Linked DNA regions of Rhinolophus ferrumequinum. The protein of the gene in region 1 interacts with the protein of each later gene in a pairwise test. Links are inferred from orthologs where the notes say so. Each region holds a gene or a part of one and is shown on either strand. Other genes may lie near its edges. The genes, in order: DCX and ZBTB5.

Region 1 (16,307 bases):
CCTTCCTAGGCTTAACCATGAAGAACCAGAAAATCTAAACAGACCGATCACTAGTAACGAAATTGAATCAGTCATCCAAAACCTTCTCAAAGGCAAAAGTCCGGGACCAGATGGCTTCACTAGTGAATTCTACCAAACTTTCAAAGAGGATATAACACCAATTCTGCTCAAACTCCTCCAAAAAATTGAAGAAGAAACAGTACTCCCTAACTCATTTTATGAGGCCAACATTACCCTGGTACCAAAGCCTGGTAAGGACAACAACATAAAAAGAAAGCTACTGGCCAATATCTCTGATGAATACTGATGCAAAAATCCTAAACAAAACTCTAGCAAATCGAATGCAACAATGGATTAAAAAGATTATTCATCACGATCAAGTGGCATTCATCCCAGGGGCACAAGGATGGTTCAACAGATGCAAATCCAACAATGTGATACCTGACATAAACAAAATAAAGGACAAAAATCATATGATTTTATCAATTGATGCAGAAAAAGCATTTGACAAGATACAACATCCATTTATGATTAAAACACTTAATAAAATAGGTATTGAAAGAAAATACCTTAACATAAAGGTATTTATAAAGGCCATATACGACAAAACCTTAGCTAATCTTATAAGTAACGGTGAAAAACTGAAGTCCTTTCCTCTACGTTCAGGCACACGACAGGGCTGTGCCCTATCACCTCTGCTTTTCAACATAGTGTTGGAAGTCCTCGCCAGAACAATCAGGCAAGAGAAAGAAATAAAAGGCATCCAAATTGAGAATGAAGAAGTTAAATTGTCACTCTTTGCAGATGACATGATGCTATATATAGAAAACCCTAAAGACTCCACCAAAAAGCTATTAGAAACAATCAACTGTCCCGACCCGCAGGACACTACACGAGGGACCCCGAAGTACCTAGAAGGGAGGAAAATGGGAGACACAAAGACCGAAGACAGGAGTTCTGATCAAGTCTCTCTTTATTGCAGCTCAATCATGGGTTATATACATTTTTGTGCTGGGTGGAGGGGCATTAACGTAAGCAGGGTTGCCGCAGGCTGATGGTCTTAAACCCTCTGGACATACCCTACAGAATGTGGGTGTTATCTAAAGACCCAAGTAACTTCCTCTATCTCATGCTTCTCAGTCATGTGATGGTGCCTTACAGGCACCCGCCCTCTACAGGTCCCCCTTTTCTGTTTTATAAAAAAGAGCTCTGAGCCCCTAGGGAACTGTGCCTGTCTTAGGTTGGGACAGTCCATCTCTGTGAAACCTGGTACAGCGACAGGTTTTTGATTTTTTATGTTACTTAGAGAGCTGTCCTCTTACCCATCATTGGATATCCAGTTCATCTCACAGGGGAGGAGTCCTGTTTTATGACTCCTGTTATTGGAGATAGGGATCTCCTCGCTCTTGCATCTCCAGTCGGGTGTAATGGATCTGTATGGGCTTGGCCTGCAAGGCCTCTATTTGTTGTCTGAGAAAGCGCATGAGTTTATTGAGGAGTATGGGTCCCAGTGATAGTAGGATAAAGCACCCGAGTATGGGGCCAAGCAGGGGTAGTAAGTAGGGTAAAAGTCCATTGAATCCGGTCCAGAGAGGGTTGGAAAGGAAAGGCGGTCTCTTCTTCTTTTTTCAAGGTCTTCTTGTAATTTTTTGACTCTGTCACGAACAATTCCAGATTTGTTAGCATAAAAACAGCATTTTTCTCCGAGGGCCAGACAGATGCCCCCTTTTTCTGCAGTAAGTAAATCTAATCCCCTCCTGTTTTGGAGGACAACTTCTGCTAGGGAATCAACCTGATCTTGAAGATCTTGGATAGTTTCTGAGAGTACCTGACATCTGATATGAGTTGTCCAGATAATTTATGGTATTGTACTAGGGAATGTCCTATCCCCGCGGACCCGGTGGCAAGTGCGGTGGTGATGCCTAGATAGACCCGCTAATAAGGGAATAAAATGGACTGCATGTTTAGTGCGTCCTGCAATATGTTCGAAAGTCGGGATAGGGACTGGCTCATCTCCTGGAATGATGGATACATCTGGGAGGAGGGAGCCTAGGGTACAAACTCCTGTCCAGTTTTGTGGTAAATAGGTGTAGGCATAATTATTTCCACAAATATATACCGATCCATTGGGTGCACACATAGGAGAGGATACATTAATGAAGGAGGAGCAATTTGTAAAGGAGAGGCTTCCTAAATTAACCTCTGTAGTATCGTTTTGAGTGGGAGAGAGGATGCACGGGGTATTGTTAAAGCCAAGGGGTTGGACTAAAAAAGGGAGAGCTATGTTGCATGAATTATTGGTAGTAGAGGTGACAAAGGGGTAGGGTATAGCTAATGGTAAAGGGGTGCCTTGTAGTAAACACAGCCACAGTCTGTGGCGTAGGATGAATTAACAGAAAGCAATAACTTGTGGGTAGAACTAAGAATGTCAAAAGTCTGGGGATCAATGTCCACGTGACCCGGTTTTTTAGGGTGGGCCAAAGGGTGATAGGTAAGTTTAGGGTTAAGGGTCTTTTGTATTTCAGCAAATTTTTTAATGCGTTTTTCATTGGATTGGAGATCGGCTGGACCCCCGCCGTCAGAAACATATGGTATAGGGGATTCGATCTGCCAGCAAAAGAGCTTATTAGAGGGATAATGGTTGTCAATGTGCCCTAAGAAGGAGGCGCAGGCTAATAACCACTGGTCTGTTGTTTGTAAGAGCCAATTAATTTCTGTTTTTGTTTAAGGTTGAATGATTATGTCGGGCTCCTTACCGAAGTATCGGCGTCCGTTTTCTCTGCCAATTGTGATAAGTTTTGCAACTAACAAATAATATGGTATTTTAGTTTTTTCGTGGGAGGCAGGGAGATGCGACCACATCAAAGGTGCTGTTTGCCAAAAGACACCGGTGGGTGTGTGTGGCGTGGCACAGATGATAAACCTAAGGGGCTGAGTGTAGTCAATAAAGGTGATAAATTGTTGACTGATGGCCTCTTCTACTCTTTTTATCGCAAGCAGACCTTCCTTAGTTAGCTTGCGTGGGGAGGTTGGGTTTGAGTCTTCTTGTAATATATCAAAGAGAGGTTTTAGTTCTCCTGTAGTAAGTTTTAAGTATGGACAGATCCAATTTATATCACCTAATAATTTTTGGAAATCGTTTAAAGAGTTTAAATGGGTGGTTTTGAGTTGAATTTTTTGAGTTTTAATATATTTACCCTGGAGTTTAAAACCAAGATAGGTGTAGGGATCTTATAACTGAATTTTATTGGGAGCTATTTGTAAGCCTTTGTTTTGTAGGCTATTGACAAGAGCGTCACAGCACAAAAGGAGGTCAGACCCATTCTTGCCAGCTATTAAGATATCATCCATATAATGAATAATATAAAAAGAGGGCCACTGAGTTCGAATGGGATCGATGGCCAGAGCAACAAATTTTTGACACGGTGTCGGGCTGTTGGCCATGCCCTGAGGTAAGACCTTCCACTGAAATCTCTGCATGGGCCCTTGGAAATTAGTTATAGGTATGCTGAAAGCAAAACGTTGTCTATCTTGAGGGTGTAGAGGGATAGTGAAGAAGCAGTCTTTGAGATCAATAATGATTTTTAAGGATCCCGAGGGAATAGCTACAGGGGTAGGTAGGCCTGGTTGAAGGGTGCCCATAATTATCATTGTTTTATTGACTTCCCTAAGGTCTTGGAGAAGTCTCCAATTTCCAGATTTCTTTTTTATGACAAAGATAGGTGTGTTCCAGGGGGAGTTACTGGGCTCTAGATGCCCTGCCGCCAATTGTTCCTGTACTAACTGATTGGCAGCATTTAGTTTTTCTAAACTTAGTGGCCACTGATCCACCCATATGGGCGAGTTGTCTTTCCAGGATATAGGGTCAGCATGGGGTGCAGGTTGGTCAGAGGCCACTAGTGAAAATGTCCTAAGCCTAATCGAGGCGGGCGCTGGGCAGTGGATAGGGGTTTTTTAATTCCCTGTCCTTGTTTTCCTAATCCCTGACCTGGGAGAAACCCTTGTTTTAACATCTGGGTGGTTATCTTGGAATTGGGGCTGAACATGATTACTCCCATTTGGGATAATATGTCACGGCCCCACAGATTTACTGGGAGGTTGGGTACAACGTAAGGTTGTACTGTGCCAGAGTTATTTTCTTTATCTAGCCATGTTAGGAACTTGGCACTTTGTTTGGGGTTAGTTGTTTGTTCTATGCCTTGTAGGTGAGTAAGTGTGTCAGAAAGGGGCCAAGAAAGCAGCCAGTCTTCTTGTCTAATAATGGTTGCATCAGCACCAGTGTCAATAAGGCCTTTAAAGGTTTTTCCATCAAGTTTTAAATCTAGCATGGGCTTATTGGGGGAGAGATTTTGAATCCAATAAGCATCTGAGGATCCAAAATTTTTGTTGTTTCTTGGCTCATTGTTGGCAGATTTATGGGTGGTTAACCAGAGGTCATCTAGGGATTGTAAAATTGAGAGTGTAAAGGGGGCCGTGGGGCCATATTCGTCCACCGCTTTTTTGAGTTCTTTTGTGGTTTTTAAATCAAGGCGTTTATAGTGTCTGGCGGGTTCTTTATTGTCTCTGTCGGGGTCTTCATCACTATCTGCACTGCCTCCTTCAGTTTTTATTGGGGGGAATTCAATAACAGGGAAAAGATTAAGAGGGTTTTTTTTATTTGAGATGGGAAATTTTTTTGTAGGATTTATGGAAAGGGGGGAATTTTTTGAGTAGCAGCAGAGGAGAGTTGTAAATCTAACTGTTGAAGTTGTTTAAGGAGAGTTAGATGTTGTTTTTTGAGTTTAACGGTTCTTTGTAATTGTTGGACTTGGTGGGAGAGGAGAGTTTGATCAGGATCGTGGATAGGAGCTAAAGGCATTTGGGGATTATAGGGAGAGGGCAATTGATTAGAGGCCAGAAACTGCCAGTCAGGATTATGATATTTAGCGGCAGCTTCCTCTAAATCAGCCTCATCCTCAGGGCTTAACTGATCGTCCTCAGGTGGGCTAGAATTTACATTAAGATCAGGACAATTAGGTGATAGGGGAGGATATAAGGGCTTACTAGGATCTTTTTTGGTGGTCTCAGGATCTTCAGGAGGCATTGAAATAGAAATAGAATCTGAATCGTGGGAGGACTTAGAAGAGGGGTCCTGTAAGGAGGAGGAGGGGCGGGAAGCGTTTTGTAAAAATGTGTTTCCTTCTTGTAACACTCGGTCGATGTCAGGGGTGTAGCGATCTACCATAAGTAGCTCATTAATGCAATGCCAATAAGTGAAAGCAGTGATGGGGATTTTTTTAGGGCCAAAAGTTTTATAAAAGTCATTAAGGGCATCTCCAACCCTTTTCCATCTTTTGTGGTCTATGGTTTCTTCCTGAGGGAGCCAAGGGCAAACATCTTTTAAGAAATTAAAAAAAGATAACTAAATCTTTTTTCTTGACTTTAACTCTCCTTATTTGTAAGGACTCTTTTAGTCCTGAGATAAACTTGTCATGAACACTAACCTCTTGTCCCATTATGATAAGGAATAAAGACTCTCCTCACGTAGGCAGTCGGTTGGTACAATCCGCCAACACGGACCCAAACGAGACGGCACGGATGGTAACGACCCGCAGACGAATGTCTTTTGGGACTCACCCGGCCGGAGCGACGGGGGTGTTGGGGTGAGAGGAGAAAAAGCCCTTACGTGAGCAATCGGTTGGTATAATCCGCCAACACGGATCCCGAGAGGTGACGCGGCTGGTAACGACCCTCAGGCGAAAGCCAGTCGGGACTCAACCAGTCGGGAAATCCTCTGGGTGGACGATTGGAGCTCAAAGTAAGCAGGCAAAATCTCGCTCAAACGGTCCCAAACACCTAGAAAACTGTCTCGTTGGTGAATGACTAAAACCCAAAGTGAGCTGAGAGCAGATAAAAAGGGAGACTGGGACAACAGGTTAGGGGAACCCTAGTCTAAGTGTCTGAGGGGAAGCCTGTAGACTATACATAAGTCTAGAACACAAATATATGTCCCATTTTTTGAAGGAGTCGTCCGCTTACCTTTACAGATCTCCCACAAGTTGGGTAGTCTTATGGTGATCAAAGAAGAAATATGCTGCATCTCCTTAGACCGGACGAACTCAGGCGTCTCATCTGCTAGGAGACTTCAGGCCCCACGTTGGGCGTCAGTTGTCCCGACCCGCGGGACACTACACGAGGGACCCCGAAGTACCTAGAAGGGAGGAAATTGGGAGACACAAAGACCGGAGACAAGACAGGAGTTCTGATCAAGTCTCTCCTTATTGCAGCTCAATCATGGGTTATATACATTTTTGTGCTGGGTGGAGGGGCATTAACGTAAGCAGGGTTGCCGCAGGCTGATGGTTTTAAGCCCTCTGGACATACCCTACAGAATGTGGGTGTTATCTAAAGACCCAAGTAACTTCCTCTATCTCATGCTTCTCAGTCATGTGATGGTGCCTTACAGGCACCCGCCCTCTACAATCAACGAATACAGGAAAGATGCTGGCTACAAAATCAACATACAAAAGTCCATCGCATTCCTATATACTAACATTGACATCTCAGAAAAAGAAAAAAGAACAATTCCTTTTGCAATTGCAGCAAAAAGAATAAAGTGCCTAGGAATAAACTTCAACAAGGATGTGAAAGACCTATATGCTGTAAACTATAACACATTTTTAAAAGAAATTGCAGAAGACACAAAGAAATGCAAAGATATTCCGTGCTCATGGATTGGAAGAATCAATATAGTTAAAATGGCCATATTACCCAAAGCAATATACAGATTTAATGCCATCCCCATCAAAACCCCAGTGGCATTTTTTAAGGAAATAGAACAAAGAATCATTAGATTTGTGTGGAACCACAAAAGACCCGAAATAGCCAAAGCAATCTTAAGAAAAAAGAACATTGCTGGAGGTATCACTCTCCCTGACTTTAGCTTGTACTACAGGGCAAGAAGAATCAAAACAGCATGATATTGGTAGAAAAAGAGACATATAGAACGATGGAATAGAATTGAGAACCCAGAAATAAAACCACATAAATATGGACAGATAATTTTTTACAAAGAGCAAAAAACATTCAATGGTTAAAAGACAGCCTCTTCAATAAATGGTGCTGACAGAATTGGAAAGCCATGTGCAAAAGAATAAAACTTGACTGATATCTGTCACCATGTATCAAAATTAATTCAAAATGGATCAAAGACTTAAGCATAAGACCTGAAACAATAAACTGCATACATGAAAACATAGGTACTAAACTTATGGAACTTGGGTTCAAGGAGCGTTTTATGAATTTGACTCCAAATGCAAGGGAAATAAAAGCTAAAATTAATGAATGGGACTATATCAAACTTAAAAGCTTCTGCACAGCCAAAGAAACCATCAGCAAAATAAAGAGGCAACAAACTGAGTAGAAGAGTTTTGCAAACAGTACCTCCAATAAGTGGCTAATATCCAAAATATACAAGGAAATCATGCAACTGAACAACAAAAAAACAAATAACCCAATTGAAAAATGGGCAGACGACCTGAAGAGACATTTCTCCAAAGAGGACATACAAATGGCAAAAAAACATATGAAAAAATGCTCAACATCACTAATCATCAGAGAAATGCAAATAAAAACCACAATGAGATATCACCTCACCCCAGTCAGAATGGCTATCATCAACAAGACAAATAGTAACAAGTGTTGGAGAGGCTGTGGAGAAAAAGGAACCCTCATACACTGTTATTGGGAATGCAGATTGGTGCAGCCTCTATGGAAGGCAGTGTGGTGATTCCTCAAAAAATTACGAATAGAATTACCATATGACCCAGCAATCCCTCTCCTGGGTATCTACCCAAATAATCTGAAAACATTTATCCATAAAGACATATGTGTTCCAATATTCATTGCAGCTTTATTTACAGTGGCCAAGACATGGAAACAATCAAAATGTCCTTCAATAGATGAATGGATAAAAAAGTTGTGGTATATATACACAATGGAATACTATTCGGCTGTAAGAAAAGGTGAAGTAGGACCATTTGTGACAACATGGGTGGATCTTGAGATTATAATGCTAAGCGAAATAAGTCAGACAGAAAAAGCAGAGAACCATATGATTTCACTGATATGTGGTATATAAACCAAAAACAACAAAAGAACAAGACAAACAAATGAGAAACAAAAACTCATAGACACAGATAATAGTTTAGTGGTTACCAGAGGATAAGACGCGAGGAGTGTGGTAGATGAGGGTAAGGGGATCAAATATATGGTGATGGAAAGAGAACTGACTCTGGGTGGTGAACACAAAATGGGATTTATAGATGATGTAATACAGAATTGTTCACCTGAAATCTATGTAACTTTACTAACAATTGTCACCCCAGTAAACTTTAATTGAAAAAAAAAAAAGAATAAAGTCTATTCCAAATCCTTAATGTTTAAGTTTTAAAATTCCACCCATTCTTATATCCTCACTGGAAATTGAATGATTTTGAATTGAATGCAAAATCAATTGCTGTATATTTACGGAATGCTTATGATATGCAAGAAAAAAATAATTATGACACTGGCCTTGCTGGACAAAGAAGTTTCAAGCGTTGATAGGAATTTCCATATTTCCCTGCTCCCATTCTTTGATATTTCTCTTCTCCTGACCTGACTGTCCCTGGGTTTTCTAGAGGTGGCCTCAATGTTATGCAGAAACAAATGGAAGAGAACAGGAAACATGCATGCAATCCCCTGAGGGACTTACTTAGAAACCGGGAGAGCAGCAACAAGGTGTTAAATGGACTTGACTGCGCAGGTTGCACACTTAAGGCTGACCACCAAGCTAGGCTTTGCTGATCCAACACCTTCCAGAAAAGGAAAATCATAATTTTTATCCTATTTCAAGGTAAAACACGTGCATGGAAAGTGCTTTACTGTAAATCCGCAACAGTTATATGTAAAAAAGAGGGTCAGTTGTACTAGGAATCAGATATAAGATAATTACTGAGCATACTATTAACTCTGAGATTCCTGGAGGCCAAGTAAAAAATGGAAACATGTAGTTAAAGACTGTTTCATATTTATGTATGTAGCTTCAGTTGTGAAGATAGTAGCACACCCCGCTTTAGTCTCTCACCTTTCTCTTTTTCTGTCTTATAATTTGGCTACATTACTTAATTAAATTTGGATGCTTCCTAGTCCCTTTTAAAACATTTGATATAAAGAAGTCAATTAGAAACAAATAGGCAGTTTGATGAGAGAGAGTTTAATATTTATCTTGTACCATCAGACTCACTTCACATAGAAAGGTCTCTGGATTGGATTTGAACTCTCAAACTCCCGAAGGTAAATGCCACAAATCACATTAACCAAATTACTACATGAAGATGAAAGTTCTATGGGGTCTTTTCTCAACTCTGTCTTCCATGAAATTCTGGAACTCTTTTCCTTTTTCTTGTCTGTTTCCTACTTCCTCTTAGTCTACTCCTCTGTTCTCACTTCAAAAATAACCAGTTGTTTGATGCGTAAACTAAAATGCCTTAAAGAATTTTCAGATTTGATTGTTTTTTTCTCAAGAAGGTGAAAGAAAGAGAGCTACAATTTCTAGGAAGCCTGGTTTGACTGAGTCCAGCCCCAGGAAGATTAGTTCTAGGTTTGGCAAAGTGGAATTGTCTATTCCCTAAAAGAAAAGGCTAGCACGTTTCTTATTAGAGCATTCTGCACTTGCTTGTGCAATCTTTTTGTTATCCTGCAATTTCCTGTTGGTTATAATGAAATCTTTCTAGCTATTAATGCAGCCTGTGAATTGAGAAAAAAAAGCATGTAATTAATCATAGGAGATTTGGGGGATTCACTAAGTCTGAATATAAGGGAGATGTTGGACAAGGCACTAGGACCTAGAAGGCATCTATCCACCCTGGCAGGAATTTCTTGCTTGGAGCTCAGACAACAAAGGCATAGAGAGATTGGTTTTCTTTCTCTCAGCATCTCCACCCAACCAGCAGAAAACCGGTGAGTGGGGCATTTGAGTGATTTTCAGGGAGAATATAACAAATGTCAAACGGGAAAAGCACAAGGCAAAGGGTGTACTCTCTCTCTGTCTTTCTCTTCTTTTTTTCCCTGCCTTGTTCTCAGATTTTTCCCCTAAGCCTCTACCTGGGATTTTCCTTTGGAAAAGTGAGTTTGATGTTGCTTTGTTTTCACTGTAATGTTGATGTAGAATAATACCACCCCTGACCTTAAAGGAAAGCCAAGGGTTGCTGCATGCCTGGGGAAATGCTTGCTACTTGTCTTGAGGAGGTGGGGTCTCTTTCCACTGCAGGTTGTCTGACAGAGACAATGCTGAGCTCAGCACAGGTCATGGTGACATTGGAAGGAAAGGGGGACTGAGCCTGGCAAACCTACCAACACTAGCCCTCTTTTATCTCCTGTGTCCGGGTCCCTTGCAAATATCTCAATGTGGCAGTGTGTAGCAGCTGAGCCCTGCTTGCTTTGTGAGCCCTTTCATCCCCATCTGTGAGATGCATGTTAATAGTCCAGTTCCTACGCTGTCATTAGCTTTGCTAGCTTTTGAGATTTCTGTTGTATTTCATTACATGTTTTGATTTTCTTTCTTTCTTGTTTTGTTTGTTTGTTTTTGGTTCAGCAGAAGGGGGAAAGCAAATCTGAACAGATGACCATCTTTTTCCTAGCTAACATACCTGGGCAATAGACAAGTTTGGGGGTGAATTGCCTGCTCTGAGGGCAAAATGCCCCTTCGGTCAGGGTAGAAATCCAGAACAATGAAAGGTGTGCTTGCTTCTAATGGTCCCATATGCTGTTTTCAGGGACTCATTTGGGAATCTTTCAACAATCAAATTATTCCATTAAGAGGTAGGGCTGCATCAGTGGGGAGGGGATAAAGCACTGGGAAAAAAGAAGAAAAGAAAAGCAAAGAAAAGGATTTTGTGACCAAATTGTACCAGAGGGAAACAGCTTATAACTTGTTAAATAACTGATTTTTCTAATCCTTTTTGTTTTTCAGCTTATTTCTTGTGAATCTTGGATAGCTGCACCAGCTTGGTGGGGAAAGGGTTTGATGAATAGCACAAAGACACTGGCTATTCCCTAGAGGCTGTCCCTTTAAAAGAAAATCCTAGTTCATTCTGGTGGGGGGTGAGGTTATGCACACATTAGAGTAGGAAAGAGGGTTTGGAATAAAATTTAAAAAATCCACTTCATACTCATTTTACTGATATGCAAAAATCGCTTCCTAAGCTGGAGATACTCACCTTGGCTACCTCCTTCTGTTGTCTTTAAAGGGCATTCTGTCAGGCTCTGGATTCATTTACAACTGTTAGTCATGTGAACATGTATGAGGAAACAGATACCAGTTTTAATGTATTTAGCCCAAAGTTACAATTTCATAAGAGCCACTGTCAGTAGGTCCCAGGATTTTAAGCTATTTCAAAATCCCTCTCTCTCCTCTATTGGAATAGTGCCAAAAGTGCCTCCCTCTCTATCTCTTGCCCCAACCCCCACAACCACCAGCACCCTCTTAGCCCCTCCTTTTTCTCTGTTAAGATCAATATTCCTGCAGGTCAGGGGCAAGCAGCAGATGGGTCAGGGGATTTTTTTCAACCAGTTCTTTTCACAAGCAGCAGATTGCAGATCTGGATCTGGCTAATATTTGAATTCCTTTCTTTTTTTTTTTTTCCCTCCCCACCACTTTTTCTTTGCCTTTTTTCTCCCCTGCCTTTTTCTCCAACACTCAGGTCTCTGACGTTTTATCAAAATATGGAACTTGATTTTGGACATTTTGACGAAAGAGATAAGACATCCAGAAACATGAGAGGCTCACGGATGAATGGGCTGCCTAGCCCCACTCACAGCGCCCATTGTAGCTTCTACCGAACCAGAACCTTGCAGGCACTGAGCAACGAGAAGAAAGCCAAGAAGGTACGTTTCTACCGCAATGGGGACCGCTACTTCAAGGGGATTGTGTACGCTGTGTCCTCTGACCGTTTTCGCAGCTTCGATGCCTTGCTGGCTGACCTGACTCGATCTCTGTCTGACAACATCAACCTGCCTCAGGGAGTGCGTTACATTTACACCATTGACGGATCCAGGAAAATTGGAAGCATGGACGAACTGGAGGAAGGTAATTAATAAAGTGGGTGGTGGCCCTTGGTGGGAGATGGCATCATTGGTTTTGGTAATATTTCTTGGATTTTAATGAAATAAATTAGGAAATAGATTTGAGAAAATACCAGGATGATGCTCAGGCTTTTGATTCTATAGGCATCAACAGGGCCATCAGCCATTATCCCTCATGGCTTTCAGTCTCTGCTGGGTTGAATGTAGATGGTGGTGATAATGCATTGTGCTTATCCGCCACGGTTCACAAAGGAATATTTGAAGTGTCATTGACTCAGAATATGAATTGTTGTTCAAAATTAACTCTAAGTAGAACTATGGAGGCAGAGTATGAAATCATTAGGGGTATTAAATGAGCAAAGAAGTCTGGTTGGGTTAACAGAAAGAAAATGTACTCAAATATTCTTTGAACTGCTAAGAGACTATTTGTGAACTGCAACTCATGGAAATATGCACCCTAAACGCAGGATTTCTTGGACATATTCACAAAGGATTATACTTTTAGGTAAGTGGTTACTGCTCAGCTGTTGCTTCTAAAAAGCCCACATCAGGGTGTGTCCCTAAGGCTGAGGTCATTGAGAGAAATACCAAAGAAAGCTGTAGGTATGCCTGGTATTTTAATACACTATTCCTATTAGAATATGAACTGACTCACTGTACCTAAATCCCTTTAAATCCTCTCTACATTTTGGTTTTGCAATTGAATTTTATGACTAGATTGCTGAAAATCTTGACAACCTCTGTATCTACCCCAAAACAGGGAAAATCCTCACTCTTGCCAAAACTTGCTAAGCCATGAAGTCTTCTTTTTGTGCTCATTTAGAAAATAGATGTTGGGATGTGTTTATATATTTTACTTTGTCAAGTCACTTATATTGAGGATGCCTCCCTACCCCCACTTTTAAATTGGTATAACATATGTGATCAGTTTAACCTGACACAATGCTTTAGAGGAGAACCTTAAGGAGTGGTGATAATGAAAATGGCCCTGCCCCCACAAACTCTCTCCCACCTTCCAGCCCTCTCTTCTCACTCCTTCCATTCCCTGAGCAAAGGTGAGTTTACAGCAGGCAGGTCTCTAGGGAAACCAAATTATGAAACAGCCGACAAGGAAGGAGAAAAAGCATATTCAATGAATTGGTGTGGGAGTGCCCGTCTCCCTCCGCTTCACTGCTTGTAGGTTTCTTGTGTTCCCAGACAAAGGAGCATGAGGGCTTCCCTTATACAAGATCACATTGTCACACGTAACTGCTATTTCCCAAGTTAGGTCAAGTGATTTGGGGCCAGTTACTTTATAAGAGACAATATCCATATGGCTATTAGATCTGGGTCTCAGGGTTCAAGTCCAAGGTTTTTCTACATAGTTGACCTTGAAAAGCGATGCTGAAGAGGCTTAAATTATTTGATCATGTGCTGAATGGCCAGGCAGTGGTTAATCCTAGGCTTCTCCTGAACATTGAAGGATTGGCCATCCTAGTGTATATCTTGAAATAAAGGAGAGTCAGGGCAAACTTGAAGGGTTTGAAGCTAGGCCGAAGGAGCTGTCCAACAAAGTAATTGATAAGGTGAGTCTTTTGTCACTGTAAAATACATATCTCAGTCAAATTTGAGGGTGTTCTCTGTAATACTTTTCACAAACAAAGCACCCTGAATGTAGCATATCCTCATTTCCCAGTATGTCCTCATTTTTACTAGCTGTAATCTTCTAAAGACCATGATAGACACTATGGCAGACTTCTGAACCAAATGACATTGTATTCAGAGCAAGGATTATACTGTTCTTGGGTCTGATATAAGAAAGTTGTCATGCACAAATCCTCCCACCCACAATCTATTTTTTAACATGTCTTGCTCAAAGACAATTCCTTGATATTGATTTCCACCCCCCCTGGATTTGTGTGTGTGTGTGTGTGTGTGTGTGTGTGTGTGTGAGAGAGAGAGAGAGAGAGAGAGAGAGAGAGAGAGAGAGAGAGAGAGAGAGAGAGATGATAATCTTAGTTCAATATAGATAATAAAAGTAATTTTGAAGACTGTAGCTTCCTTTTCTTTTGATCCTTTTAAGTCCTGTTGAATTGTACTTTTATCATCTACCATTCCAGGATGCTGTGGTAATAATTCCTGTGAATTCCTTCACTATGTAGAGTGTGCTTATGGCTCAGTTGCATTTATCCATATGTCATTTAAAACCACAAGCTGCAGAGGCTCTCAATGCCTCCCCCTACTCCTGAGTACTGCCCATTCAGTCAAAGAAATTCTGGATACCTTAGGATAGAATTGAGAAATGTGACCAGCTTTCCCACTACTACCACAGAGCTAGATGGGAAAGGGCATTGGAATGAGGAGGATAAAGATAAAGGGTATTTTTCTCTCCTATTTTTGTCCTTTGGAACTACTCACCTAGGAATGGAGGACAGGAGTCTCTTACTTTGTTCGCTTTTGGAAGAAGTTAAATGAAAGATTACAAAATTCATATACATTGCTTTCCGTGAGACTTCAAATTGAAACAGTTTGGTAAGGTCCCTGGGTGAAGAATCAGAGGCATTGGGTTCAAGTCTTGGAGGCAGAAGATTATAATGGGAGCAGTCTTTGGAATCAGATTGAGTTCAAATCCAAGATTTGCCACCTGCTAGCTTATGTGTCCTTGGTGAAACCATTTTGACTGCCTGAACCTCACATTTTCATTTGTAAAGTGGGAATAACTGCTTTGAGAATTAAATAAGACAATGGATATTAAATGTTTAGTATTATGCCGGGCACACAGTAGCACTCAATAAAGGATAGCAATTATGTTTGAGCCATCCTAGTTTGTAGCTGGTTAGCTAAATGACCATAGGTTTGGACTTATCATCACTGTGACTAATATTCTCTCTTTTATTTATTTATTAATTTAAAAAAATTTTCAATTACAGTTGACATACAAATTAATTTCAGGTGTACAACATAGTGATTAGAGATTTATATAACTTACGAAGTGATCACCCTGATAAATTATGATGCTCTCTTTTTAATTTATTAAACTTATTAGGATGACATTGGTTAGTAAAATTATATAGGTTTCAAGTGTACATTTCTGTAATACATCATTTATATATTGCATTGTGTGTTCACCACCCAGAATCAACAATTCTCCTTCCATCATCACCATGTTTGATCCAATGTTCTCTTTTTTAAAAACAACTATTTTTAAAAGACAACTTTACTAAGTTATAATTTGCATACCATAAAATTCACCCATTTAAGTGTAAAATTCAATAATTTTTCGAAAATTTACCAAGTGGTGCAACCATCACCATAATCTAGTTTAGGCCATTTTCATCACCCTGAAAAGAAACCCTGTACCAATTAGCTGCCACTGCTCATTTCCCCTATTCTATCCAGTCCTAAGCAATAATTACTCTACTTTATATCTCTACAGATTTTCCTTTTCTGGACATTTTATATAAATTGAATCATACATTATATTCTCTTTTGTGACTGGCTTCTTTCTTTCACTTATAAAAAGATGTTTTCAAGGCTTATCCATGTTGTACCATTTATCAACACTTTATTCCTTTTTATTGAGGAATAATATTCCATTGTATGGATAGATCACATTTTGTGTATCTATTGCAATATTCTTATCTATAAAATGAGACTAGTAACAGCTGCCTTCTTTATCTATTAAGGTGGTTGTGAGGATAAAATTAGGTAGTAATTATGGAAACACATTGACAAGATAAACCTATAGCTACAAGGTACCATCATTGTTAGTGATGTAATAATAATAATAATAATGGCGATGCTAGTGAGGGGTTGGAATGGCCAGTGGTTCCCAAACCAGGCTGCCTTTAAGAATTTTGTAGGGCTTTACAAAAATATAGATTCCTGGGCTACATCTCAGATCTATTGAATTAGAATCTGCAGGGCTAGGGCTCCAGAATCTATGTTCTCACAAATCTCCCCAGGTGATTCTTGTGAGCACTTAAACTTGGGAAGTACAGTACTTGATTAGCTGATCTTGATGGTCCCCTTCAGCTAACTACAATGGTGAAAGTTCCTAGGAATGTAGAAATTCTTGTTTGTGTTTTTTTCTTTGTAGATCTAGGAAAATTTCTTTGTAGGAATAATGGACCATAGATCATACTATGTTTCCAAATGGCCTCATTAAAATATAGCCTAAAATGAAATGAAATAAAAAGCAAACATTTAATAATCACTCTGGC
Region 2 (16,805 bases), on another chromosome or scaffold:
CTTTTTCAAACTGGAGCACCACATGGATCAATACTCCAACTCTGGGCTGGGTAACACAGAATAAAGAGGACCCATCTCCTCCCTTCTGCTATTTGCCATGCCTCTCTTAATGAAACCAATATGTGAATTTATTCTTAGCATCTACACTGTTCAGTTAAGTTGTTTAGGGTTGATAAACCAAAATTCTTGATTTTGCTTCTGCTAAGTCACATTATCCCTGCATTTTTTATTTTTTTTATTTTTTTAAGGAGGGCGCACACACTGGCCCATGCGGGCATTGAACCAGCAACCTTGGTGTTATTAGCACCACGCTCTAACCAATTGAGCTAACTGGTAACCCCATCCCTGATTTTTTTTAAAAAACAAAGATTCAGAGCTTTATGTGAGGCCTAAGTTTAATCGTGTTAGATTTAGCTTACTCAGATTTTTTTATTTTTCCCAACATTTTTTAGATTTACAATAATTATCAAAGCAATTTTGATGTCCAATATTGGGAAAAATACAGAAAAATATAAAGAATGCAATTATAGTAACCCATGATCCTTTCCCCACCTAGAGGCAAACATTGTTAACATTCTGTTTTATTCCTTTCTAGATTTGTCTCTCTGCATATCTGCATATGTTTATATAACTGATACATTATTGTATTCAATTGTGTATCCTCCTTTTAAAAATTTTTAAATAATCTTGTAAGCATTTTCTCAAATCACACGATAGTCCATTGAATGTTGCCACAGGGTTTATACATCCAATGCTTTAGTTGCTCACTTGGGCTATTCCCAATTTTCTCACTGTTACATGCAACATTACATGAACTTTTTAAGCATAAAAACTTTGTTTGGGTTTTTTTGGATAAATTCTTTGGTTGGGATCCTAGGATTTGAATTAATGAGTCAAAGAGCATGAACATTTTTTTTAAATCTTAATACACTGTCAAATTTGACTCCAAAAATTTTCAGATCTTTTAAGCGATCTGCCTTCTAACACTACCCAAGACAATTTGGAAGATATAAGAATAAAAATACACAATGCTTGGCCTCAGGAATTACTTGCTAGGAGGAACACAAAAATGGAAAAGAACACTCTTAAGGGTGGATACTGTTAAGTCTTTAGAAATTCTCAGTTCAGTCAGTTTCATTGCTTTATTTGTTTTGAATCTTTGTTACTAGGATTATACTCATTCAGGCTTATTATCTCTTCTTAATGAATTAACCCTTTTCTCATTAGAATTGTCCTTCCTTATCTCTCATAACATTCCTTGTCCAGAAGTCCACTTACCTGATCTTCAAATAGTTATTCTGGCTTTCTTATGATTGGTGTTTGCATGATACATCTTTTTCTATCTTTTTACTCTTAACCTATTTGTATTTTTATATTTAAAACAGGTTTCTATGGACAGCATGTTCCATGTTTTCTTCTTTTATAGTTTGGTTTCAAAAGGTTTTAATATTTCATTCATTTGATAATAAATTTGTTGTAAGAAGTTAGATAGATACCCAATATATTTTTTCCAAAATACTTCCCAGTTTCACAGGCTCAAAATTTAATCTATATTTCTTCCATTGCTTTGAAATGACAACTTTTTCATACATTAAATTCTCTTATATATTTAGGTCTATTGTGGACCCTCTGTTTTGATCCACTGAATTGTCTGTCTGTTCATATACCAGTACCAAGTTTTGGGGTTTTATTTATTGTGGCAAAATATACATAAAATTTACCATCTTAACAATTTTAAGTGTACAGTTCGGTAGTACTAAATACATTCATAATGTGAAACCATCACCACCATCCATCTCCATAGCTCTTTTCAAATGTGAAACTGAAACTCTATATCTATTAAATAATGACTCCAATTTCCATCTCACCCAAGCCTCTGGCAACCACCATTCTACTTTCTGTTTCTATAATTTTGACTACCCTAAGTACCTCACATTAGTGGAATCCTACTTAGCGGAATCATCAGTATTTGTCTTCTTTTAGCTGGCTTATTTCACTTAACATAATGTCCGCAAGTTTCACCCATATTATAGCATGTCACAGTTTCCTTCCTTTTAAAGGCTGAATAATATTCCATTGTATGTATATATCACATTTTGCTTATCCATTCATCTGTTGGTAGACATTTGGGTTGCTCCCACATTTTAGCTATTATGAATAATGCTAATATGAACATAGGTATACAAATATCTGTTTGAAATGCTGCTTTCAATTCTTTGGGTATATACCCAGAAATGGAATTGCTGAATCATATGGTAATTCCATTTTTAAAATTTTGAGGAACCGCCATACTATTTTCCATAGCAGCTGTACCATTTTACATTCCTACCAATAGGGCATAAGGAAGGGTTCCAGTTTCTCCACACCCTTACCATCACTTGTTTATTCTTTATGTTTTTGAAAGTAGCCACCTTAACAGGTGTGAGGAGATATCTCATTGTAGTTTTGATTTGTTTCCCTAATAATCAGAGATGTTTCATATGCTAATGGGCCATTTGTATATCCTCTTTGGGGAAATGCCTGTTCAAGTTCTTTGCTCATTTTGGAGCTACATTTGTTTTTTGGTTGAGTTTTAGTTCTCTAAATATTCTGGATATTAATCCCTTATCAGATATATGATTTGCAACTATTTTCTCTCATTCTATGGGTTGCCTTTATATTCTGTTGATATTGTCTTTTGATGCACATTTTAAAAATTTTCACGAAGTCCAATTTGTCTATTTTTTCTTTTGTTGTCTATGCCTTTGGTATCATCTCTAAGAAATCATTGCCAAATCCAATGTCAAGCTTTTATCTTATATTTTCTTCTAAGAGTTTTATAGTTTTAGGTCTTACATTTAGGTCTCTGATCCACTTTGAGTTGTTTTTTTAAAATAATGTTAAGTAAGGGTCCAATTTCATTATTTTGCAGTTTTCCCAGCACCATTTGTTGAAAAGACTGTCCTTTTCCCGTTGAATGGTTTTGGCACCTTGTCCAAAATCACTTGATCTTACATGCCTGAGTTTATTTCTGGGCTCTCTATTCCATTCCATTGGTCTACGTTTGTCTTTATGCCAACACCACACTGTTTCAATTACTATGCCTTCATAGTTAAGTTTTTAACTCAAGAAATGTGAGTCTTTCAGCTTTATTTTTCTTTTTTGTGATAGTTTTGGCTATTCGAGGTTATTTGAAATTCTATGTGAATTTTGGAATGAGTTTTTCTATATTGGCAAAAACATATTATTGGGATTTTTTATAGCAATTGCATTGAATCTGCACATTGCTTTGAGCAGTATTGACATCTTAACAATATTAAGTTTTCCAATCCATGAACATGGAATGTGTTTCCATTTATTTATGTCTTCTTTAATTTCTTTCAGTAATGTTTTATAGTTTTCATTGTATAAGCCTTTTACTTCCTTGGTTAAATTAATTCCTAAATATTTTATTCTTTTTGATGCTATAGTAAATGGAATTCCTTTCAAAATTTCCTTTTGAGATTGTTCATTGTTAGTGTGTAGAAATGCAACTGATTTTTGTGTATTGACTTTGTATCGTTGTAGTTGGCTGAATTCATTTATTAGCTCTCACAGATTTTGGGGGAATCTTTAGGATTTTCTACATATAAGATCATATCATGTGCCAACAGAGATAATATTACTTCTTCCTTTCCAATTTGGATACCTTTTATTTCTTTTTTTCCTTAACTGCTCTAGCTAGAAATTCTAGTATTATGTTGACTAGAAGTTGTGAATGTGGGCATCTTTTCTTGTTTCTGATCTTAGTGGAAAGGCTTTAAGTCTTTCACCATAGAGTATGATGTTTGCTGTGGATTTTCACATTTTTTAATATGTTGAGGTGGTTTCCTTCTACTTCTAGTTTATTGAGTGTTTTTGAAAAGGTGTTGAATTTTTGTCAAATGCTTTGTCTGCTTCAATTGAGATGATCATGTTTTTTTTTCTTTATTCTTTTAATGTGGTGTTTTACATTGATCAATTTTGTATATTGAACTATCCTTGCATTCCAGGAATAAAACCTTCTTGGTCATAATGTATAATCCTTTTAATATACTGCTGAATTCAGTGTGCTAATATTTTGTTGAGAATGTTTGCATCAATATTTATAGAGGACATGGGTCAGTAGTTTTCTTATAATGTCTTTGTCTGGCTTTGGTGTCAGGGTAATTCTGGCTTGATAGAATGGGTCTAGGAAGTATTCCCTCCTCTTTAAGTTTTTAGAAAAGTTTGAGAAAATTGGTGTTAGTTCTTTAAATGTTTGGCAGAATTCACCAGTGAAGCCATCAGATCCAGGGCTTTTATTTGTCAGGAGATTTTTGATTACTGATTCAATAGCATTTATAGCTATAAATTTCCCCCTTAGTACTGCTTTTGCTGTGTCCCATAAGTTTTCATCTGTTGTATTTTCATTTTCATTCATCTTTAAGTATTTTCTAATTTCCTTTGTAATTTCTAATTTGACCCATTGGTTATTTAAGAGTGTGTTGTTTAATTTCCACAAATTTGTGAATTTTTCAGTTTTACTTCTGTTATTGATTTCTAACTTCATCCCATTGTAGTCAAAGATACTTTGTATGATATTCATCTTTAAAAATCTATTGAGACTTAATTTGTGGCCTAATTTGTGGTCTATTTTGAAAAATGTACTAGGTGCACTTGAGAAGAATGTGTATGTTATTTTTGTTGCATAGAGTGTCCCATATATGTCTATTAGATCCATTGGTTAATTGTGTTAAGTCCTCTATTTCCTTACTTATTATAATCTCTCTGGTTGTTCTGTCCATTATTGAGAGTGGGATATTGAAGTTTCCAATTATTATTGTAGAACTATCTATTCTCCCTTCAATTCTGTCAGCTTGTGCTCCAAAATCCCATGGAAGTCACTTCAGCAGCAGGGGGAAGGGCTTGTAACAATGAAGGGGAGGTACAACAACAATGGCTACCTGCCTCTTTGATCTGCATCTCTGTGATCACAAGCAGCAATCAGTGATCTCAAATATTTGGAGGACAGGGTCCTTTTTGTCCACTGTGGCTCCCACAAGCTGGTACAAACTGCTCCAGGAACCCATGCATAGCAACTTGCCATGTGGCTGAGGTGTGGAGGATGGGTTTCTTCTCCTGTGCTGAGAGCTAAAATTGACCAAAATTAACTGCAATTTACCTTTCGAACCCTTCCCTAGAAGTTGCAGGCCTTCAATAGACTCCTGAGTTCCAAAATAGTTACATTAGATAGATTCTGCCCTTGCAATTGTCTGGGTGGGGAGGCAGATTCTTGGTGCTTCCTACTCTGCCATCTTTGCTGAATCATCTCTCCCTTTTTTTTTTTTTTAAACATAAGAAAGTATTATAAAATATATTTGTAATTGTTAGGGCTATGGCTGTCTTGTTGATTTTTTTCCAGAATTTTCTTCGCTATTCCTATAATACTGTTTTCCTTTATAAATCTTAGAATCAGTGTGTCTAGTTCTAAAAAAGTATCTTATTGAGACTTTTATTGGGAAATTTATAGCTTAATTTAGGAAGAATTTTGCTAATGGTTTGAAAACCCACACAAACTAAAAGTCCTGGTTTTCATAAATACTACTAAAATAATAAAGCTTTTTATAAACATTATATTAATACAGAAGTATATAAAGACTATAAACTAAGAAGGCCATCTTAAAACATTTCCTTATCACTGCCCCCTCCCCAACACCCCTCACTGAGGTAACTCATGAATAGCTTGATAGTATCCTTTCACACTTAGCCATACATTTACAAATTTTTATGTGTACGTCCACATGCAGGTTTTCATTGATTTTGTTTTGTATGTATATGAGATCATTAGTGATGGAGCCATAAAATGCATGTATCAATTTTTTGTAATCCTCTGTAGTTGCACATTCAGCTTTTGTTTCTCTCCTACTAACAAACCTGTGATCAATGGCTTCCTATATATTCTCCTACATTTGTGTATTTCATCTAGGTTAATTTGTGTATTTCAGAATACGTTTCTAGAAAGGAATTGCCACCTAGAAGGGAATGAATGCATATTTAAAATTTTGATAAGTACTACTAAGTTATCTTCAAAAACAGTGTCAATGATACTCCCATCAACAATATAGGAGGGGGCCTTTTCAGTACTCTCCTACCGGGTTTCCCCCAAAATAAGACCTAGCTGGACAATCAGCTCTAATGCGTCTTTTGGAGCAAAAATTAATATAAGACCCGGTCTTATTTTACTATAAGACCCGGTATAGTATAATCTAATCTAATCTAATGTAATCTAATCTAATCCTGGGTATGATATAAGACCGTGTCTTATATTAATTTTTGCTCCAAAAGATGCAATAGAGCTGATTGTCTGGATAGGTGTTATTTTCGGGGTAACACGGTAAGTACTGAATATACAAATATTTTAAGCTTTTGCCAAGTTGTAAATTTGAGATAATATCTAGCTCACAGCATTTTTATAAGGGTCATGTGTGAAAACACCTCACACACCGTCCAGCCAATCTGGCAATAAAACATCTGTAAAGGCTATAAAGTGTCAGGGAATCTTAAAGAACAGAATTTACCATCAGACTTCATTGAGGCCTTACAGAAATCCCAAAGGCAATATTTCCAACCTGTAACGTCTGAAGAGATGGATCAGCTGTAATAATATTTGGGTGTTAACCTCTGACACAGCAGGACGTTCCTTTAAAAAATAGTGTCTCCCTTCTCTCCCCCCAAAAGAAGCTTGAGGCAGTCCCCAGCCTGACTTTGTCTCTGGAGCCACGCGGAGTTCCCCAACAGCTCACTCGGGAAGGCCCTTTACAAGCTTTCTTCTCTCCTCTTCACCCGAGGAAGGAGGGCTTCTTCCTGCCCCAGTGCCTGGTGCCCTCCGAGGCCACGCGGGCTGGTCTCCCTCCGGGATCGTGCTGTCCATCTGAGAGTGCACCTGGGATCCCGGGAGCCGTTCCAGAGCTTGCTCTTTTCTGACAGCATCCCACAGAAGTCCAGGACCGTCCAGGTGTCCAACTTTGTTTTGGGGTAGGTTGGTTTTGGAGACTGCAGGCTTATGGGCCCTGCGGCACGAACTGTGGATCAATGAGCGAGCAAGTTGGAAGCCGGTACCTGCTGGTCATTCTCAGGTTTCAGAATTGCGGGAAGCCAGCCCAGGGACTGGACTTGGGGCGCTGTCGGACTAAACTGCCGTCAGATGGATGTTTGCCAGATTTCGGCTAATTCAACCTAAACAGCTTCTTGGAATTTTATTTTTCCCAAAGTCCACGACGTGAGAAAGCCCCCGACGCAATATGTGTGAGTCTCGCGAAGGCCACTCGCTTTGGAGGAGGAGCCGGGGGTCACAGAAGGGCCGGTGTCTGGAGGGTGGGGATGTCCTCCAGGTCCCGCGAATGGTGGGACCGCATTACCCTGAGGGCCCGCCTCCTGGCAGTCGTGGTTGTGAGTGGTGGAATTAGGCGGAAAACTCGCTTGCCTCAACCACAACGTGATTTGATTGGCTACGACACACATTAGCTTTTTCATAGCCCAAAACTAACGCCGCTTAGTGATAAATCCCGCCTTAAAGGCGTTTGATAACAGTTTTACGTGTTGTAAAGCAAACGGTGATTGGTCACAGCGCTCACGGATTCAATCGTTAGTAAACACAGCGAGGCTCCCGGGACCATGGATTGGTCAGCGTTCTGGTTCGGCCTAGTCAATTCCTCCGGATTCCGCACGCCGGCTGGCTGCTCTCCTGCCCGGGCCTCGCCCCCTCCCTTGCTGATTGGTTTTAGTTTGGCCAGAGGGGAGGAGGCGGAGTAGGTGCTCTCGCATTGCGTCACTTCCGTTTACTGTCGGCCGCCGCCGCGGTGTTCTCAGAGTGTGGCGGCGAACGGGCTGAAGGATCTGGGGGACGAGAGGCGGGGTGGGTGGGGAGGGTGGACGGAAGGGGGAGGAAATCCCATTACCGAGACGCCAGCCTGGACGTTCCCGCCTCCTCCGACACTGTCGGGTCGGATCGGGGAAGGGTCACTGCCTCCTCCAGCGAGAAGGGGGGCGGAGCCCGGCTCAGGTGAGAAGACCCTGTCACAGCGAGTGGTGGTGGCGCGCGCGGGCGCGTTCACGTGGAGACGGTTGAGCACCAGCGGTGCTGGGCTGGCGGCGCAAGAGGGGTCGCGACAAGGCATCTGGGGAGCGCGCAGACGCGTACCGGTGTCCCTCGCCTACTCTGTTGTCTTTCTGAGGGGGTATTGTTACCCTTCAGAGCAGAGGGGCCAGGAGGATGGGAGGCGGGTTCTTCTGCGCAGGCGTCCCCTGTGTCCGGACGCCTGGTTGTCTGCGGGGTGGGGCGGGGGCTCTTGCCCCCTCGGATCTGCGGGCTGAAGGCGTTGGTTACTGGGAGGGAGGGGTCGGGTGGGGTAGGTCTCCGGACCAGCAGCCTGGCGGGGTGAACGGAGAAACTGCCTCCCTGCGGGATGGGGTCGAATGTGGCTTCCTTTCCCCCATCCTGGGTGTCCTTGAGCAACAAGGTTTCATTTCACCAGGGCAAGGCCAAGGCGGTCTGGAATCGGGAACTGGAGGCTGACCCTGGAGGGGTGGAGCTAGTGTTTTGGAATGCCCCAACTTGTTATCAGAGGAAAAGTGTTTATAGGCATTTATTGAATGCCCACTACTTCCAGGCTTCGTGTAAGAACAGACGTTCTACCTTCTCCCCTTGTTTGGAGGCCAGGCAGATCTGTACAAAAATATATAAGGCAGTGCATTGAGGCGTGGGGGCAGGGGCGGTGTTGACGGTTAGGTTCTTTTTTCCTTCCCAAAGTCATTTGTTATTAAGTCAGTCTGCATTCTGGCATAGTGGAGGGTACTGTAGAAGCTAATTTCTGAAAAGAAGACAAATTCTAATTTAACTTGGAGAAAACATTTTAAGTAAAAACATGGTAGTTTTGATTACCAAGTAGTATGCTTGGGTTCTGTTAATTTGAATGAATAGGAGAAACCCTTCACCTTCAAGAATTGAAACAAAATTTTTCCATATTCTGTTAACATACTTTTCAGTTGTAGTTAGTAGAAGATATTACATACAGTGGGATTTTTCTTTACAAGTTGGAGAGAGTGCTGTGCCTTCGTCATCATTGATGATTTGTTATTTTTGTATGGGTTGTTGTGCTTTAGATAATTTTTAGAAGATGGACTGGGCGCCTCTGTCTTCTGGAGAACTTGCTTTTCATTTGCTAAAGTCTTAGGATTTCCGTGGTGAGGGTGGTTGTCCATAAGCTTAAAGAATAAAGTTGGGGGCAGGGGGAGGAAGAGATCAGATGGGGAGAGAAGAAAGAATTTTAGAGAAACGTCCCTAAACCAAGCAAAGGCCTGGCATTATTGCTTTAATCCCTTTGGAAATCCCAGCAAACTTGGGAAGACTGGCCTGGCCACCGCACCCAGCTTTATGACCTGCCAGGTAAGACGCTTTGGTTGGAGACTTGTTCTAGGCCCTTGGATTTTGCTGAATAAGTGAACCAGGACTTTTAGAGTCCTGAAGTCAACTTGTTTCCTGCTCCGCCATTTTTCTTTTCCAAGTTGTGTCAAAACATAGTGTAGTTAGCTGGAGATACTGGCAAGCTGTGTTCTGGGTAATTGAGGTGTCTAGCAAAATTCTGAAAATGATAAGATATGGAAGAAAAACATCTTACAATGGAGTGTTTTCCTAAATATAGGGCTCAGTGCTCTCAAAAGAGGCTTTGTCACAAGACTATGGTGAGAAGTTGAAGTCGTTTCACAAAAATCACTCGGATACAAAAATGCATGTAAGTGTTTTAGTGTTTAAAGTACTTAGCATGAATTATATTGAGTTCTTCAGTGTGTGTACGGTCAGATATGACAAAGCTTGCTGTGGTGCTGACACAGAATCTTGAATCTGCCTCAGTTTCTCCTTGGACAGGGAAAAGGAAAAGCCCAAGGTATTGATTCCATGTTAGCTTTCAACATTTTTTTAAATGTAAATTTGTTGTAAAATAATTTTCCTCCTCTTCCAGTTTTAAGCATATGATTTCTCTTTTACTATACTTACCATTTCTCAAATACGGATGTTGTCTAGTAGAGCCAGCTTTTGTTAGTGTAGCAGGTGGGATGGAATGTAACACTACACTGCACCTTTTGTTTAAGTATTCAGTGAACTTATGTGCTAAAAGACCAGCTGTTTCTGAGTGAACTATTGCTCTTACAGTTGTTTTCATCATTTTCATCACTGAAAGTGACTTTTAATTTCAAGACCAATTTGGGGGAAGGGGTGCCTTTCACTTGATTAATTATGCATATATTTGCTAAAAGCTTTGATTTATCTTTCTCACACTTCAAATAGATTAGGAATTGCATTGGAGCACTGACTTTATTGTAATAGAGTAGTCATAGATAGATTACTTTCTTAGTATTCAAGATTATATTTTATCTGTAGATACTTTTCCTTCTGATCGTCTAACATATTTGAATGATATGTTTAAGGTTCTAGTATTTCCTTGATTGTAAAACAGTTTTGTTCCCATTTTAATCTTGAAGACAGGATGCCATCAGTAAGCGTTATCCTATGGCCTAATTGACAGCTTTTTTTTCCTTTCCTAATGTTATATGAAATATGTTGCATTTTATAATCACTGGCATCTTAGATTTAATGACATTTGGTACGGTTAAAAGACTTGTACCCAGTTAATTCACTTAATTATAACCAATTAATTTTCCGAATTTTCCTTTGTACTCTGAAAAAAGTTTGCTATTGAAAGGAATCCTATTGGAAGCAATACTTGTTTCTTATAAATGGAAACTAACAAAGTTTTGTTTCTTTTACTAACTTTAAAGGATGATTGTCTGGTGAGTCTGCTTTTGGAAATTATACTTGGTAGTCTGTTACTTTGTGTACTTGATAACAAGTTTACAAATGCTTTATTTCCGACTTCTTAAGTTTAAAATGAGTAGGGAGAATTGCTCCCCCTTTTCTTCTGAATATGATTGTTAACTTGTGATAACTGATTTTTCATTATATCGTAATTAGTCGATTATAATTTGAAATCCACTGAACAGTCTTCTTCTAAATATGCAAGACCTTCAATTGTTTAGTCCTATTTTAGTCTCTACTAGAGGATTTGAGGAGGACAGGGAGAAGAAAACCCACTGTTTGGGGGTTCAGTTGTGAAAAGAACCCACAGATGGTACAAAAATCTAAACACATTTAATAACATACATTGTATTCTTTGAGTAGAATGTCAAAAGTCACTTGGCAGGTAAAGTATCAGTCCCTTGCTGAATGCTATTGATTTGACAAATGATTCAGAAATAAGGAATATCCTACTTAGAAAGTAAACTAGGTATAACAACGAATTAAACCTATTTTTCATTTTCTTGACTGGAAAGGCATCATCACTAATGGTGTCTTCAATGCTTTGGCATGCTTTTTTCTTGATAAAATAGTTTTTGTTCATTAAGAAATATGTTTCTTGATCTGTCGGGGTAAAAGGCAATGAAAGCTATTTTTTTAAATTGCTGAAAAGGTTGTGTGTACGGGGGCAACTGGGGGGTGGCAGGCAACATTTTCTAAATAACAAAGGGAAAATACATTTAGACTTCTTAAGCAGATGTTAAACTAGATATAGTTCCAGATTTATAAGTAGCTAAAAGAAGTCACTTATGGTGGTTTTTATAGATTTTGATATGCTTATGAAGTTTGTATGATCTTTAGAGTGTTAACTGGCTCCAGATGTTCTTTCATCTAGAGAGTCAGCTAGCTGGCTATTCATTTTACATTTTAGAAAAATGTAGTACCCAAGAAAGGGAAATTTCTAGACCAGTTACAGTGTAAGTAGAAAATTCTAAACAGGATAAAGCAGTGAAATGTGTCATAAGATACTTTTAAGTTTAAATACAGTGTTTTCAGTCATGTAACTGTCTTGGACACGCCCATCCTTCAGACAGCACTCCGCTGGTGGCCCAGCACCTTGACAGACCACCTCCCTGACAGGGGTGAGCAGACCAAGATTCTCCCCTTATGACAGGTGAGCCTGCTGCCAGGAATGTATTTTGTGACCCTTCCCTTCTCCCCAAAGCTCTGGTCCCTGATTCTTGTTCTGCATCAGCATCATGGAAGGCAGGTTTGGGGAGGAGCCAATGGCAAGGGACACTGGGAAGAGAAAGCAAAGCTCATCCTACATCCTCCTCACCTTCCAAATCAGTCTGCTGGCCGTGAAGGCTTGGCAGTGTGGTCGGTGATTTTGGCAGTGTGGTCGGTGGTGGTGGCATGCAGCGTTGGAGGATTTGAGTAAGAGAAGAGAAGCCCCTCCTGCTACATCTTCCAGAACGCTTGCTCTAATTTTCACTCCCTTAGCTGTTATTTTACGCACTTGTCTTTTCACTCTCACCCCCGATCCTTGACCTTGACCCCTGCTCTTCAGCTTCATCCCCTTACTCCCTCAATCTCCTAATCCTTATTCCTAGCCTTTGCTCACACTCGTAAGTACGTAGTGTTCTCTCCTCTCCTGAGTATCCTGTCGTCATCCACCCGGCCCATGTCTATCTGGGGGCTGCCCACATTACAGCAAAGTGAGGTTTCGTCGTCAGATCTGGATTTACAACTCTTCTCCTTCACTCACTGCACTAGTTGGGTGTTGTCGGCCCTAGACACCGGATGACAGTCCTCCCTAAGAAATAATATACGTGAAGTACCTACTGAACCTGGCGCTTAGTTGGCATTCAACTCTCTCATTCCCACCCAACTAATCCTGCACCACCCAACTAATAGATGTCATCATGGGAAGGGGTGCGGTGTTACTGGGACCGCATAGGTGCTCTGACAGTTGGCGACAATAGTAACAGGTTAAAGGCACGCTTCGTGATGATCCTGGAAGGTAACACTGAGAAAATGCCAGGCAATTCATTTCACACACTTGAGTAGCATAACATATGAGGATGTGTAAATGGAAGGCTGCCTTTAGTCTCACTCATCCTATATATTTGAAGAATGAGACTCCACATACATGCATTTTCTGTATACAGGTATGTGAGACGTCTACTTCAGTGGCTTTCAGACTTTTGACTTTAGGATTCCTTTACACATTTAAAAATGATTCATGACTCCAAAGAGCTTTTTTGTGGGTTATAGCTATCAGTATAAAACATCTTAGAAATTAAAATTGAGAAAAAGATTTAAGCATTCATTAAAAGTGATAAGCTCATTACATGTTAACATAAATAACATATTTTTATGAAAAATAACTATTTTCCAAAACAAGTGTTTAGTAAAAATAGTGGCATTTGGAAAAAAAACTTTATTTTTAGAACAGTTTTTGATTTATAGAAAGATTGTGAAGACAGTTCAGAGAGTTCCCACATACCAACACCCAGTTTTCCTGTTATTAACATCTTACCATTAGTAGGGTGCATTTGTTAAAATTAATGAACCATTATTAATACATTATTATTAACTAAAGTCCATTCTTTATTCAGGTTATCTTTAGTTTTACCTCTTGTCCTTTCTCTATTCTAAAATCTTATCCAGGAAAACACATTTAATCAGGCATCATGTCTCCTTAGGCTCCCCTTGGCTGTGACAGTTTCTCATACTTTCCTTGTTTTTGGTGACTGATAATTTTGAGTGCTGATCACTTATTTTGTAGAATGTCCAATTGGGATTTGTCTGATGTTTTTGTTACGATTAGACTGGGGTTCCAGGTTTTGCAGGGGGAAAGACCACAGAAATGAAGTGCCATTCTCATTACATCAACACATGATGCTTACTAATGTACTTAACTGTCAGCATGACTTGTCACCTTTGCTGTTGCCCTCGGTCACCTGGCAGAGGTAGTGTTTGTCAGATTTCTCAAGTCTGAAGTTCCTCTTTTCCCCTCCCTTTCCGTACTGTCCTGTGGAAGGAAGTCATTGGGCATAGCCCACACTTAAGGAGTGGGGAGATATGATCCATGTCCCTGAGGGCAGAATAGCTACATAAATTATTTGAAATTCTTCTGCACAAGAGATTTTTCTCTTCTCTCCCATTTATTTATCGAATCCATACTTTAAATCAGTATGGACCTATGGATATTTATTTTACACTTTGGGTTATAAACCAGTATTATTTTATTTATCTTTTTGCTCAAGCTGTTCCAGCTTTAGCCTTTGGAAGCTCTTTCTCCTGTGGAGTCCTATGTCCCTCTCAAGTACTCCCATTATCTTGTTTGTTTGTTTGTTTGTTTGTTTTAAGCACACCCTTACTTTCTGGCACTACAAAATTCTGCAGGCTTATCTTGTATATTTCCTGCCTCAGTCCAAGCATTAGCCATTTGTCCAAGGAGCCCTGGTTCCTTTTATTGGTGAATGGTATTTGAATCCAACATCTGGGTACAGGGAATGCTCAGAGTGGCCTTGTTTTACTTTTTTTGAAAGTCTCTTTAATGTCTAGTCTAATAGAAGACAGGTGGTTTCTCATACCTGCTTCTGTATTCAATTTGTTGTGATATACTTTTGATTAAAGTATACCAAGAAAATCCAGCATCACACAAATACGTGGTTGGAAAAGGGAGGAGTATTTCAGTAGCTTTTTCAGATAATTTTGGATAGTCTTTTATGATTTATAACAACACTCAGCAAATGATATTTTCTTAAGTGGTTAGTTGCAATGTGGAATCTGAAACTATATCAATGAACAGTTAATATTCTGTTACATTCAAATACGCTTGTTTTTATCTTGCACTTTGAATGAATTTTTTTACCCATACCTTCTTTTGTAACATCATGGTTACAACATTAATCATTTGGAAAATATGGATTCACTGAGTTATGTAGATCTTCCAAATGTTGACACATTTATTATACAACATTTTTCAAAAATCATATTTCATTAATATCACTAACAATCTTATCAGAAGGGGGTGAGCATTGGGAAGCTATCAGGCTCATGGTGACAGATACAGATTTTCCAGAAGTCTAATTTTCACCCGAAAGCTTAGATTTTATCATAGGCAAGAAACACTGTAAGTTGTTTTCCTTGAAATGACAAGCTCATTTTATTCATTTCCAAGAAAATATCTGGCAAATACTCGAGTCTAAATAACCATAGTTTGTCATGCGTTCTTCCAAGTAAAAATAGTGCTCCATGAAAAAGCAATGAGTGCAGTTTGCGACTCAAAAATTGCACAAATATTTTTCCTTGAGACAATGTCGTCTTTCACTGTGCAGCACAATTACTTCAAGTGTCCTTCCTATTTCACTTCACGTAACATTAAACAAGAAATGTATTCAAGAATCAAGACTAAGTAACAGTAATGAAGGGGAGGGAAGATTAGATGCCCTGTGCAGTCAGCACTTGCGTGGTAGTGGCTGAGTCCAGCACAGCTGTACAGAGACAGCATTCCGGCCACATTGTTCCTGCTGCCCCTCCAGGCTCAGGTGTCCAACCTTCCTTTCAATGAGCAAACCAGTAACCTTACAGCGACTTACTTTTTGGGTAAGTTAGCTGCAATCAACTTCTATTGCTGCAGCCAAGAACCCTGATTCCTACTGTGCTTAAACTTGAAAATATTTTTTACAAAAGGTATCTGAAGAGGTATTTTTAAAATTCAATTAGTTTGGGAGATATAAAATTTGTTATTCTGCTCTGATGGAAGGTAATCATGAATCGATATCATGGTTATTCAAAACTCTCCAGCAACTCGAGCAAACTCAGAGGACCATGAGGTATATAACTTAGAACTAAAGACTATCATCACTTTATCAAAATTCTTATCTCTAACCAAGGGGAAGTCAATAGATAACGTCTAACTGAAAAATTAAGGAGCTCCAAGCATGTCATTTAATATATGTATGTAGATATCAAAAGAATTAGCCACGAGTTTAAAGTGGTAGCCTTGGAAAAGAGAACAGGGAAGCAGAGAGGCTGGGGCCTGGTATTTGTCTTAACAAATCTTGTGGAACTATTTGATTCTTTAATGTGTACTTCACAAACTATGTATGCCTTTGGTAAAATTTGTTTTTAAAACTCTAAAAAGAAAGAGAGCCTGGACAGACCCAATCCCTCTTCCCAACACACAGAAAACACTGCCAAAGAATTACTCCCCACCCCAGAAAAGGCATCAGTACCAATAGTTTTATAGGAAATATCTATCCAATGCTATGAAAAAGATCATTCTTACGTTACTTAAACCATTTTAGGAGAGGAAGCTCCCAATGATCCAATATTGAAATAAAGTTATTATCTAATTTCTCCTTGAATTAATAGTTTTGGAACGGCAGTGGGGGATTGAGAATAAAACATAAGTATGTAAAAATGTCCTTTCCTAACAGACAGTAGCATGTATTTATCTATATGGTTCCACATCACCTTATTCTGTAGTATCACCAGCTATGTGTCTCAGATGCTGTCTGGGCTCTGATCAGATCTCCTTGATCCTTTTTGCCAGTTCTGTGCACCTGTCGTGCAGTGTCTGTATGTTTTTTCTTCTAATGGCTTGCGTCTGTGACTCTTTGAGCACTGGGTCTTTGGGTGACTGGCATCACTTTGTGATGAGAGCCGGAAGTACGTAGCCGTTTCCATCCCCCTGGAGAGGCTCTTAGCTGTTGACTGACTAATGCAGCACTGCCAAAGACAGGTTCCCTTGCCTTGAGGTGCCCCAAACACATTTATACTTTAGAGCTCCGCTGCTGGACCAGGTTAAGGCTTGGATTTGCCCCAAATCACACCCTTGCTTGGCTGCTGCTGCTCCCTGTCATACTCCCCACTCCCATTTTCTCCTGGGAGTGCCTCCTTGATAAATCACTTGCACTTGAATCCTCTCATGGTCTGCTTCTGGGAAAACCTTACCTAA

The links.
Region 2: the proteins of DCX (region 1) and ZBTB5 interact in binary tests that used the Homo sapiens proteins (3 or more experiments, as listed by UniProt). The two-hybrid records come from large-scale screens. The link is inferred for Rhinolophus ferrumequinum from reciprocal best matches to the Homo sapiens genes DCX and ZBTB5.

What each region holds. Positions count from the first base shown.
Region 1 is NC_046284.1:42,664,893-42,681,199, forward strand, and holds the start of DCX (neuronal migration protein doublecortin), read left to right. Parts: upstream 1-9,929; 5' UTR 9,930-9,981; intron 9,982-11,723; 5' UTR 11,724-11,745; coding exon 11,746-12,109; intron 12,110-16,307. UniProt on the Homo sapiens protein: Microtubule-associated protein required for initial steps of neuronal dispersion and cortex lamination during cerebral cortex development. May act by competing with the putative neuronal protein kinase DCLK1 in binding to a target protein.
Region 2 is NC_046295.1:53,159,499-53,176,303, reverse strand, and holds the start of ZBTB5 (zinc finger and BTB domain-containing protein 5), read left to right. Parts: upstream 1-7,913; 5' UTR 7,914-8,041; intron 8,042-9,124; exon of another isoform or gene 9,125-9,424; intron 9,425-9,680; 5' UTR 9,681-9,768; coding exon 9,769-9,770; intron 9,771-16,805. UniProt on the Homo sapiens protein: May be involved in transcriptional regulation.